3 linked regions of the Saccharomyces cerevisiae S288C genome follow. Changing the gene in region 1 together with any one later gene gives a genetic interaction. Each region holds a gene or a part of one and is shown in the gene's direction. Other genes may lie near its edges.

Evidence for each region.
Region 2: mutations in PIR3 (region 1) and YMR321C together harm fitness more than expected from each alone (negative genetic interaction), as found in Saccharomyces cerevisiae (one large-scale study listed by BioGRID).
Region 3: mutations in PIR3 (region 1) and HSP32 together harm fitness more than expected from each alone (negative genetic interaction), as found in Saccharomyces cerevisiae (one large-scale study listed by BioGRID).

What each region holds. Positions count from the first base shown.
Region 1 is NC_001143.9:142,679-146,037, forward strand, and holds PIR3 (beta-1,3-glucan linked protein), read left to right. Parts: upstream 1-1,722; coding exon 1,723-2,700; downstream 2,701-3,359. Other genes in the region: PIR1 (beta-1,3-glucan linked protein), read right to left, coding at 1-141. UniProt on the Saccharomyces cerevisiae protein: Component of the outer cell wall layer. Required for stability of the cell wall and for optimal growth. Required for resistance against several antifungal and cell wall-perturbing agents.
Region 2 is NC_001145.3:916,959-919,526, reverse strand, and holds YMR321C (uncharacterized protein), read left to right. Parts: upstream 1-1,630; coding exon 1,631-1,948; downstream 1,949-2,568. Other genes in the region: SNO4 (glutathione-independent methylglyoxalase family protein), read left to right, coding at 448-1,161; YMR320W (uncharacterized protein), read right to left, coding at 2,476-2,568.
Region 3 is NC_001148.4:10,201-13,152, forward strand, and holds HSP32 (glutathione-independent methylglyoxalase family protein), read left to right. Parts: upstream 1-1,686; coding exon 1,687-2,400; downstream 2,401-2,952. Other genes in the region: phosphopyruvate hydratase ERR2, read right to left, coding at 1-670. UniProt on the Saccharomyces cerevisiae protein: Catalyzes the conversion of methylglyoxal (MG) to D-lactate in a single glutathione (GSH)-independent step. May play a role in detoxifying endogenously produced glyoxals. Involved in protection against reactive oxygen species (ROS).

The sequences.
Region 1 (3,359 bases):
ACCGAAAGTAGAAGAGTAATCAGTTATACCACCCTTGTAAGTAGCTGATGGAGTTAAAGTGGACCACGGGTCCTTTGGAGCATAGGCAGCTAAAGATGTAGCAACTAAGGCGGAGGCAACTAATGATTTTTTGTATTGCATTTTCTAGAATATACTATTAGGGGAGTTTTGTAGTTTGTTTTTTTTTAATACCAGTGTATTAACTTTTGTTTTCTTGATGATATTATTCTTATACAGTAATAGAGAAGATAGGACAACTATGCATAAAGTAGTAAAGATCTTGCTCCTTTTTATATGTGAGAATTGTAGCATTACGATCTTCTTATTGAAAGAATAATTAGTATACCAGCGTTCTAATATTTGGGCAGGAGAGATTGACTGGACACAGTCTAAACCCTTTCAGATACATGGGCTAAATGATGGTCCATCGTATTATTAAAGCAAGTAATCGAGCTCCAAGAAGGATTTACGTCCGCCATCTCAATTTCTTTTATTAGCGTTGCTTCTATAATTGGCAGGACATAAAAAGGCTGCTAATAATAAATGATGATATAATTAAGAGCAAGCTGGCCGATCTCTCCATTTTTATGCGCTCCAAGCCACGTCATTTTCCGATGACAGGAATGCTTTGCATATTTCATATGAGATATACATTGACTCCTTTTCGACCAACCGTTTCATTAAAGGGGCAGCAGCTGTCAAAAAAGTAGCCGAAAAAGGCGTCTGGCTTCGAGGAATTATTACCTAAATAGGAAAGGCAGAATATATTAGAAAAAAAAGAAAAACCAAATGAGAAAAGTGCTGGTGCTAAATAAAACATTATTGAGGGGCCAAGAGGGGACAAAAGAAGATATAACTAGATCATTAAGTTTTCGCTCTAGTAACAGGAACAAAGATTGTGAGATACACTGTTATGCTAAGAGACGGTGCGATATTCTGTACGAAAATTATTTAACTATTAACTAAATGTATACCACTTCACGTGCCACCGAGTAGGTTTCTAAAATGTGCAACCATTTTAGGTATGTGCGCAGCTCTTTATTCTAAACGGGAGTCACTACATTACTATTATCGTGTTTTTGCCCATGTACTTTCTTATAATCTTAAGACAACAACGGGATGATAGGCGCATTCGGACTTTCATTGATGCAAATGTGTGAAAAATGCATCCAAAAGACAACTTTTGTACAGAATACAATTGCAAAAATACTTTACGGGCATAGATCGGTAAGGTCACCGGGAAGCTAGCGTAAGAGACCTTATTCGGAACCGAGCAACCATTTCCGAATGTAGTAGTAGTTGAAGGAGTAAATCGACCTTATTGTACACTACTTCCTTTAAATTTGATTTCTGGCCCCGCGCAATTTCTTGGCGGTTAAGCTGTATTTTTACCTCATCGGGAAAAGTTATTGCAAGTTAAAGGGGATCAAACGATTAGCAAACTAATTATAGATCAAAGGCCGAGGGCTTTCTAAATTTGGCATATTTCGCCGTCGACTGAAATAGAAGGGATAAATCATGCATCTCCAGGATTATCCCTACTCCATTCATTACAACATGCGCCAAATCAAGCCTATATAAGATTCTCGTCATTTAGCATGCTCTATTGATTTGTGTCTTGTTTTGTCTAACACTGAAACTGTAACCTAAGATTTCTTTAGATAATTATTACATTTACATCAATAAGAAATCTCATAAAACAAGTACTGTTTATAAGTAAAAATGCAATATAAAAAGCCATTAGTCGTCTCCGCTTTAGCTGCTACATCTTTAGCTGCCTATGCTCCAAAGGACCCGTGGTCCACTTTAACTCCATCAGCTACTTACAAGGGTGGTATAACAGATTACTCTTCGAGTTTCGGTATTGCTATTGAAGCCGTGGCTACCAGTGCTTCCTCCGTCGCCTCATCTAAAGCAAAGAGAGCCGCCTCTCAGATAGGTGATGGTCAAGTACAGGCTGCCACTACTACTGCTGCTGTTTCTAAGAAATCCACCGCTGCTGCTGTTTCTCAAATAACTGACGGTCAAGTTCAAGCTGCTAAGTCTACTGCCGCTGCTGTTTCCCAAATAACTGACGGTCAAGTTCAAGCTGCTAAGTCTACTGCCGCTGCCGTTTCTCAAATAACTGACGGTCAAGTTCAAGCTGCTAAGTCTACTGCCGCTGCCGTTTCTCAAATAACTGATGGTCAAGTTCAAGCTGCCAAGTCTACTGCTGCCGCTGCCTCTCAGATTTCTGACGGCCAAGTTCAGGCCACTACCTCTACTAAGGCTGCTGCATCCCAAATTACAGATGGGCAGATACAAGCATCTAAAACTACCAGTGGCGCTAGTCAAGTAAGTGATGGCCAAGTCCAGGCTACTGCTGAAGTGAAAGACGCTAACGATCCAGTCGATGTTGTTTCCTGTAATAACAATAGTACCTTGTCAATGAGTTTAAGCAAGGGTATCTTAACCGATAGGAAGGGTAGAATTGGCTCTATCGTTGCCAACAGACAGTTCCAATTCGATGGTCCTCCACCACAAGCTGGTGCTATCTATGCTGCTGGTTGGTCCATCACCCCAGAAGGTAACTTAGCTCTTGGTGACCAGGATACTTTTTACCAATGTTTGTCTGGTGACTTCTATAACTTGTATGATAAGCACATTGGTTCTCAGTGCCATGAAGTTTATTTGCAAGCTATAGATTTAATTGACTGTTGAACGATGCATCGATCAATCGGAGTCGTCCTCCTTTAACTTCACGAATTAGTTGCCACTCTCATTCCCCACACATAAACTTGTTTTATGGCATCCTTTTCATTTAGCATGTCTTTATTTCCAAACCTTTCCTCGTTCTTTGCATTCATTTAGCGTTTGCTCGAGAAAGCATCACGTTTTCACACATTATCGTTCGTCGCTATAATAAAAATAGTTATAGAATTTACTCAGATTTACATGTCGTACCTTTTTAATTGTAAAAAAAAAAATTTTATGATACATAATTACCTAAATATAATTCAGAATCAAACATACTTATAGCTATTTGTATGCTATTAGGTGGTCCTGCTATAAAAATATCGTTTATAATACTTTATATTTTATCTTTCAACTTAGTCGCAATTGCAGAAGCTTTCCCTGAGAAAAAATTTGTGAAGCTAGCTGCGATAGCAAAGGAGCGCTTAAGGTATAGAAAAGCACTCAGCTGGAATGCCAAAAGATAGTTTAGCAACTGACCAAGGAAAAAGCTTGTAGGTAGACTTAACTTCATTGTTCTCTAATCCTTTCGTCGTGTATATTGTAAAAACTGCTGAACGAGTATTGATAAAAGATATCTTGGCCACTAAGGGGCAGATCCCCTTCTGGTGTGATAGACAACCCCA
Region 2 (2,568 bases), on another chromosome or scaffold:
GTATTTCTTTTCTTGGCGCGGAGTCGCTGATGACGCAATAGGCACATTCATGAACATCCAGGACTGGTAATCTTCTCGTCTTAAAAAAAATCCAACCACCAGTAAAGAAACTCTTGGGTAAAATGCAGTATCTGAAATATTGCATAGCTGCAAATGAAGATATTCAGTATCAGCATAGGTATTTTCATGAAGGATAGGTAAAAAGAAAGAAAAGAAAAATATCTTTTTGACTGTCATTCTTGCAATTATCACAATTAGGGGACTTTAAAACCGATACTTGATATATGAGCACAGTCAAGGGGCCGGTTCTTGAGATTTTAATGGAAAACAAGAAAGTTGCACATACAGGTCTGCTTTTCTTTGCTTGCTCCAGACAACGATACTTAGAACTAAAACATATTTCTAGAACACTTTTCTCCTTCATTCAAAAAGAAAACTGGCCTTGCAATGACTCCAAAAAGAGCGCTAATATCTCTTACTTCATACCACGGTCCCTTCTATAAAGATGGTGCGAAAACAGGCGTTTTTGTAGTTGAGATTTTGCGGTCGTTCGATACTTTCGAAAAGCATGGTTTCGAAGTGGACTTCGTTTCTGAGACTGGTGGATTTGGCTGGGATGAACATTACTTGCCAAAGAGCTTTATTGGTGGCGAAGATAAGATGAACTTTGAAACGAAAAATTCCGCCTTCAATAAGGCGTTAGCGAGGATCAAGACCGCAAATGAAGTCAACGCCAGCGACTATAAAATATTCTTTGCATCTGCTGGACATGGTGCTCTATTTGACTATCCCAAAGCTAAAAATCTGCAAGATATTGCATCCAAGATATATGCCAATGGGGGTGTGATCGCCGCCATCTGTCATGGACCGCTCCTTTTCGATGGATTAATAGATATCAAAACAACAAGACCATTAATCGAAGGCAAAGCTATAACAGGTTTCCCACTCGAGGGTGAAATCGCCCTGGGAGTTGACGACATCTTGAGGAGCAGAAAATTGACAACGGTTGAACGCGTTGCAAACAAGAATAGAGCCAAGTACTTGGCGCCAATTCATCCCTGGGATGACTACTCTATTACCGATGGAAAGCTAGTTACGGGTGTTAACGCAAATTCTTCCTATTCGACCACAATTAGAGCTATAAACGCATTATATAGCTGAAACAAAAGACAAGGGAATTGTTGAAGGGGAGGCTTCTAATGGCCTTCAGTTTCTGTGAAGAGAAGGCTAACAGCTCAATGGTTCGAAAGGTAAAGAAAACGGCAGATCGGTAGCACTCGATTTTGCTAGAATGGAAATCATATAGAGAACAATTGAATAGTAGGCCTTGGTTTTTAGTGTTGTACTCATCATGGTCATATGTGACATAGGTAATGTACATATATATAAAAAAAAAAAAAAAAAAAGCAATGCTGTGAGATCATTCGTTACTTACGAAATACGCAGATTGCAATTTGAAATAAGCTGTGTTTCCTTTTTTCTTTTTTTTTTTTGGCTTGTTATATACAACTTTTTTCTATTTCTGTTCTTTTAGGAGTAATTAATTGGTACATGGGAAATAAATATGAATTATATTAAATGAAGTAAAAGTAAAAGAAAACGGGGAAATTTATCGTTTCGTAGTAAATAGATGATGGACTTGGGCGACAAAATAAATCCTAACCTCTCGTTCTTAGGAATCAACTGCGTCAGCTTCAACCAATCACCCGACATTCTTGAGTCTCTACATCAAGCACTGCCAAATATGGCCTTGCTTGCTTATCCAAACAGTGGTGAAGTTTATGATACTGAAAAGAAGATATGGTTGCCAAATAGCGATAAGCTGAACAGTTGGGATACGGTTGTTAAACAGTACATTAGCAGCGGTGCCCGTATCATTGGTGGTTGTTGCAGAACAAGTCCAAAAGACATCCAAGAGATTTCTGCAGCCGTCAAGAAATACACGTAAATGCCTTTTTAAAGAAACTGGAAAATTCTTAACATTATACATATGCTAGGAAGCAGCATGTTACACTAAATACATTTTATAAACAGCACAAGAAGTATTGTTAATTAATTATCCTTGCCATGTTTTTTTAGAGTCACAAATGCTTTTCCGTACTTCGCCGACAAAAAACAGAGTAAACATCATATGTTTTATAATCTAAAGGAATCAACTAACAGTTCATCAGATGGGAATTTGGGAGAGTGCACAAGTAAGATGGGGTAAAAGAAGATAAATCTCCACCGGATCTAAACCTTTGCCAATAATCCTCACATGGTGGAGCTACAATCTCGCCTTCTCCGACCAGTCACGATTAATTAAATTGCCTAAAATTAACTTTTATATTCCCATACAGTCGATATTGCTAGCTCAAAAGGCGTTATATTCGAAAGTTGTATCCAAATATTCCATCTAATGTATTATTGGCAAAAGGATTCCGTGATCTGTGTTCCCAAGAACAATCATAACCTTGAAAAATTATTCGCCAATCATTACATGCGGCAAACTAAAAAGCCTTTTTTTGTTGGCTCCGTGGCTCTATTGTCGCAGCTGATAAAAGCAGGTGCCCTTGGATATTTTCGAGA
Region 3 (2,952 bases), on another chromosome or scaffold:
CTTCGGCAGTGTCAATATCGGGGGCAACTCCACCCTCGTCACCAACATTTCCAGCGGAAGGTCCATATTGCTCCTTCGCCAATATCTTCAAATGATGGTAAACTTCCGAACCCATCCTCATGGCTTCTGCAAAGCTCTGAGCCCCGACTGGCGCGATCTTGAATTCTTGCATAGCTAAAGAGCCACCGGCGTGGGCTCCACCATTCAAAACATTGAAAAAAGGAACAGGAATAACAAAGGGGTCCTGTCTAGCATCCGCTAACTCGGCTATATACTTGTAGAGAGTAATTCCCTTTTGTGCGGCAGCAGCTCGAGCAACGCACAAGGAAACACCAAGGATAGCATTGGCGCCCAACCTTGACTTGTTAGAAGTTCCGTCTAACGATATCATGAGCTCGTCTATGCCCTTCTGATTGGTTACACATAATTCGGACTTGATTAAAGCAGGCCCTATGATACTATTGACGTTACTGACTGCCTTGGTCACCCCTTTTCCCATCCATTCGGACTTGTTCCCGTCTCTAAGTTCAACAGCTTCGTGAATGCCGGTGGAGGCACCAGATGGGACGATCGCTCTGAAGAGACCATTCTCTGTTGTAATTTCAACCTCAACAGTCGGATTGCCGCGAGAATCATACACCGTTCTAGCATGTACCTTCGTGATGGACATATTTTTATCGTTGAGATTCGATTTTTTCCTCACCTTGTTTTGGTATTTCTATTGCAAGACAAAGTGAAAGAAGAAGAAGTGGTGGTAAAAAATAACTATATATAATGAAAATTGTAACCTGGTGGGAGTGCAAACTGTAAGTGATAACCTGCCAGATCCATGTTTCTATTATATACCTAAGAACCAGCCAAGTTAGGTAAACGAGGAGTCTTTCAATATCTCTTTTCTAGTGAGAATGTTATTTAGGTAAATGAACAAGTTACCACTATACTACTCACCCCCTACACTTTGTTTGTGACCTCTCCCCTTATCCAGTTCATCGAAACTTTTTTTTCAACTTGTGGCGATCTGTGACATTGTCTACTACAAGAACCGATTTTGGTTGATGTCTGTAAAAAAAACAACCTTACCTTTCCAGATCCAACTTTCCAGGAGAGCTGCGTGAGTTTCAAATATTTACCATGTCGGAGAAAGCTCCCAAGTACTTCCTTGTTCTTGTCATTTTTTCCTTATCTCCATCCTTTAAGGAAGGTATTTCCATTATGCGATTCTATAAATCCGAGCATGCGAGTATTTCTTTTCTTGGCGCGGAGTCGCTGATGACGCAATAGGCACATTCACGAACATCCAGGACTGGTAATCTTCTCGTCTTAAAGAAAATCCAACCACCAGTAAGAAACTCTTGGGTAAAATGGGGTATCTGAAATATTGCATAGCTGCAAATGAAGATATTCAGTATCAGCATAGGTATTTTCATGAAGGATAGGTAAAAAGAAAGAAAAGAAAAATATCTTTTTGACTGTTGTTCTTGCAATTATCACAATTAGGGGACTTTAAAACCGATACTTGATATATGAGCACAGTCAAGGGGCCGGTTCTTGAGATTTTAATGGAAAAGAGGAAAGTTGCACATACAGGTCTGCTTTTCTTTGCTTGCTCCAGACAACGATACTTAGAACTAAAACATATTTCTAGAACACTTTTCTCCTTCATTCAAAAAGAAAACTGGCCTTGCAATGACTCCAAAAAGAGCGCTAATATCTCTTACTTCATACCACGGTCCCTTCTATAAAGATGGTGCGAAAACAGGCGTTTTTGTAGTTGAGATTTTGCGGTCGTTCGATACTTTCGAAAAGCATGGTTTCGAAGTGGACTTCGTTTCTGAGACTGGTGGATTTGGCTGGGATGAACATTACTTGCCAAAGAGCTTTATTGGTGGCGAAGATAAGATGAACTTTGAAACGAAAAATTCCGCCTTCAATAAGGCGTTAGCGAGGATCAAGACCGCAAATGAAGTCAACGCCAGCGACTATAAAATATTCTTTGCATCTGCTGGACATGGTGCTCTATTTGACTATCCCAAAGCTAAAAATCTGCAAGATATTGCATCCAAGATATATGCCAATGGGGGTGTGATCGCTGCCATCTGTCATGGACCGCTCCTTTTCGATGGATTAATAGATATCAAAACAACAAGACCATTAATCGAAGGCAAAGCTATAACAGGTTTCCCACTCGAGGGTGAAATCGCCCTGGGAGTTGACGACATCTTGAGGAGCAGAAAATTGACAACGGTTGAACGCGTTGCAAACAAGAATGGAGCCAAGTACTTGGCGCCAATCCATCCCTGGGATGACTACTCTATTACAGATGGAAAGCTAGTTACGGGTGTTAACGCAAATTCTTCCTATTCGACCACAATTAGAGCTATAAACGCATTATATAGCTGAAACAAAAGACAAGGGAATTGTTGAAGGGGAGGCTTCTAATGGCTTTCAGTTTCTGTGAAGAGAAGGCTAACAGCTCAATGGTTCGAAAGGTAAAGAAAACGGCAGGTCGGTAGCACTCGATTTTGCTAGAATGGAAATCATATAGAGAACAATTGAATAGTAGGCCTTGGTTTTTAGTGTTGTACTCATCATGGTCATATGTGACATAGGTAATGTACATATATATATAAAAAAAAAAAAAGCAATGCTGTGAGATCATTCGTTACTTACGAAATACGCAGATTGCAATTTGAAATAAGCTGTGTTTTCTTTTTTTTCCTTTTTTTTTCTTTTTTTTGGCTTGTTATATACAACTTTTTTCTATTTCTGTTCTTTTTAGAAGTAATTAATTGGTACATAGGAAATAAATATGAATTATATTAAATGAAGTAAAAGTAAAAGAAAACGGGGAAATTTATCGTTTTGTAGTAAATAGATGATGGAACGCATTCATAAAATCTCACAAAATATTACAATAAACCGCAGTAGTCGGTAAAAATGTATTATACAACG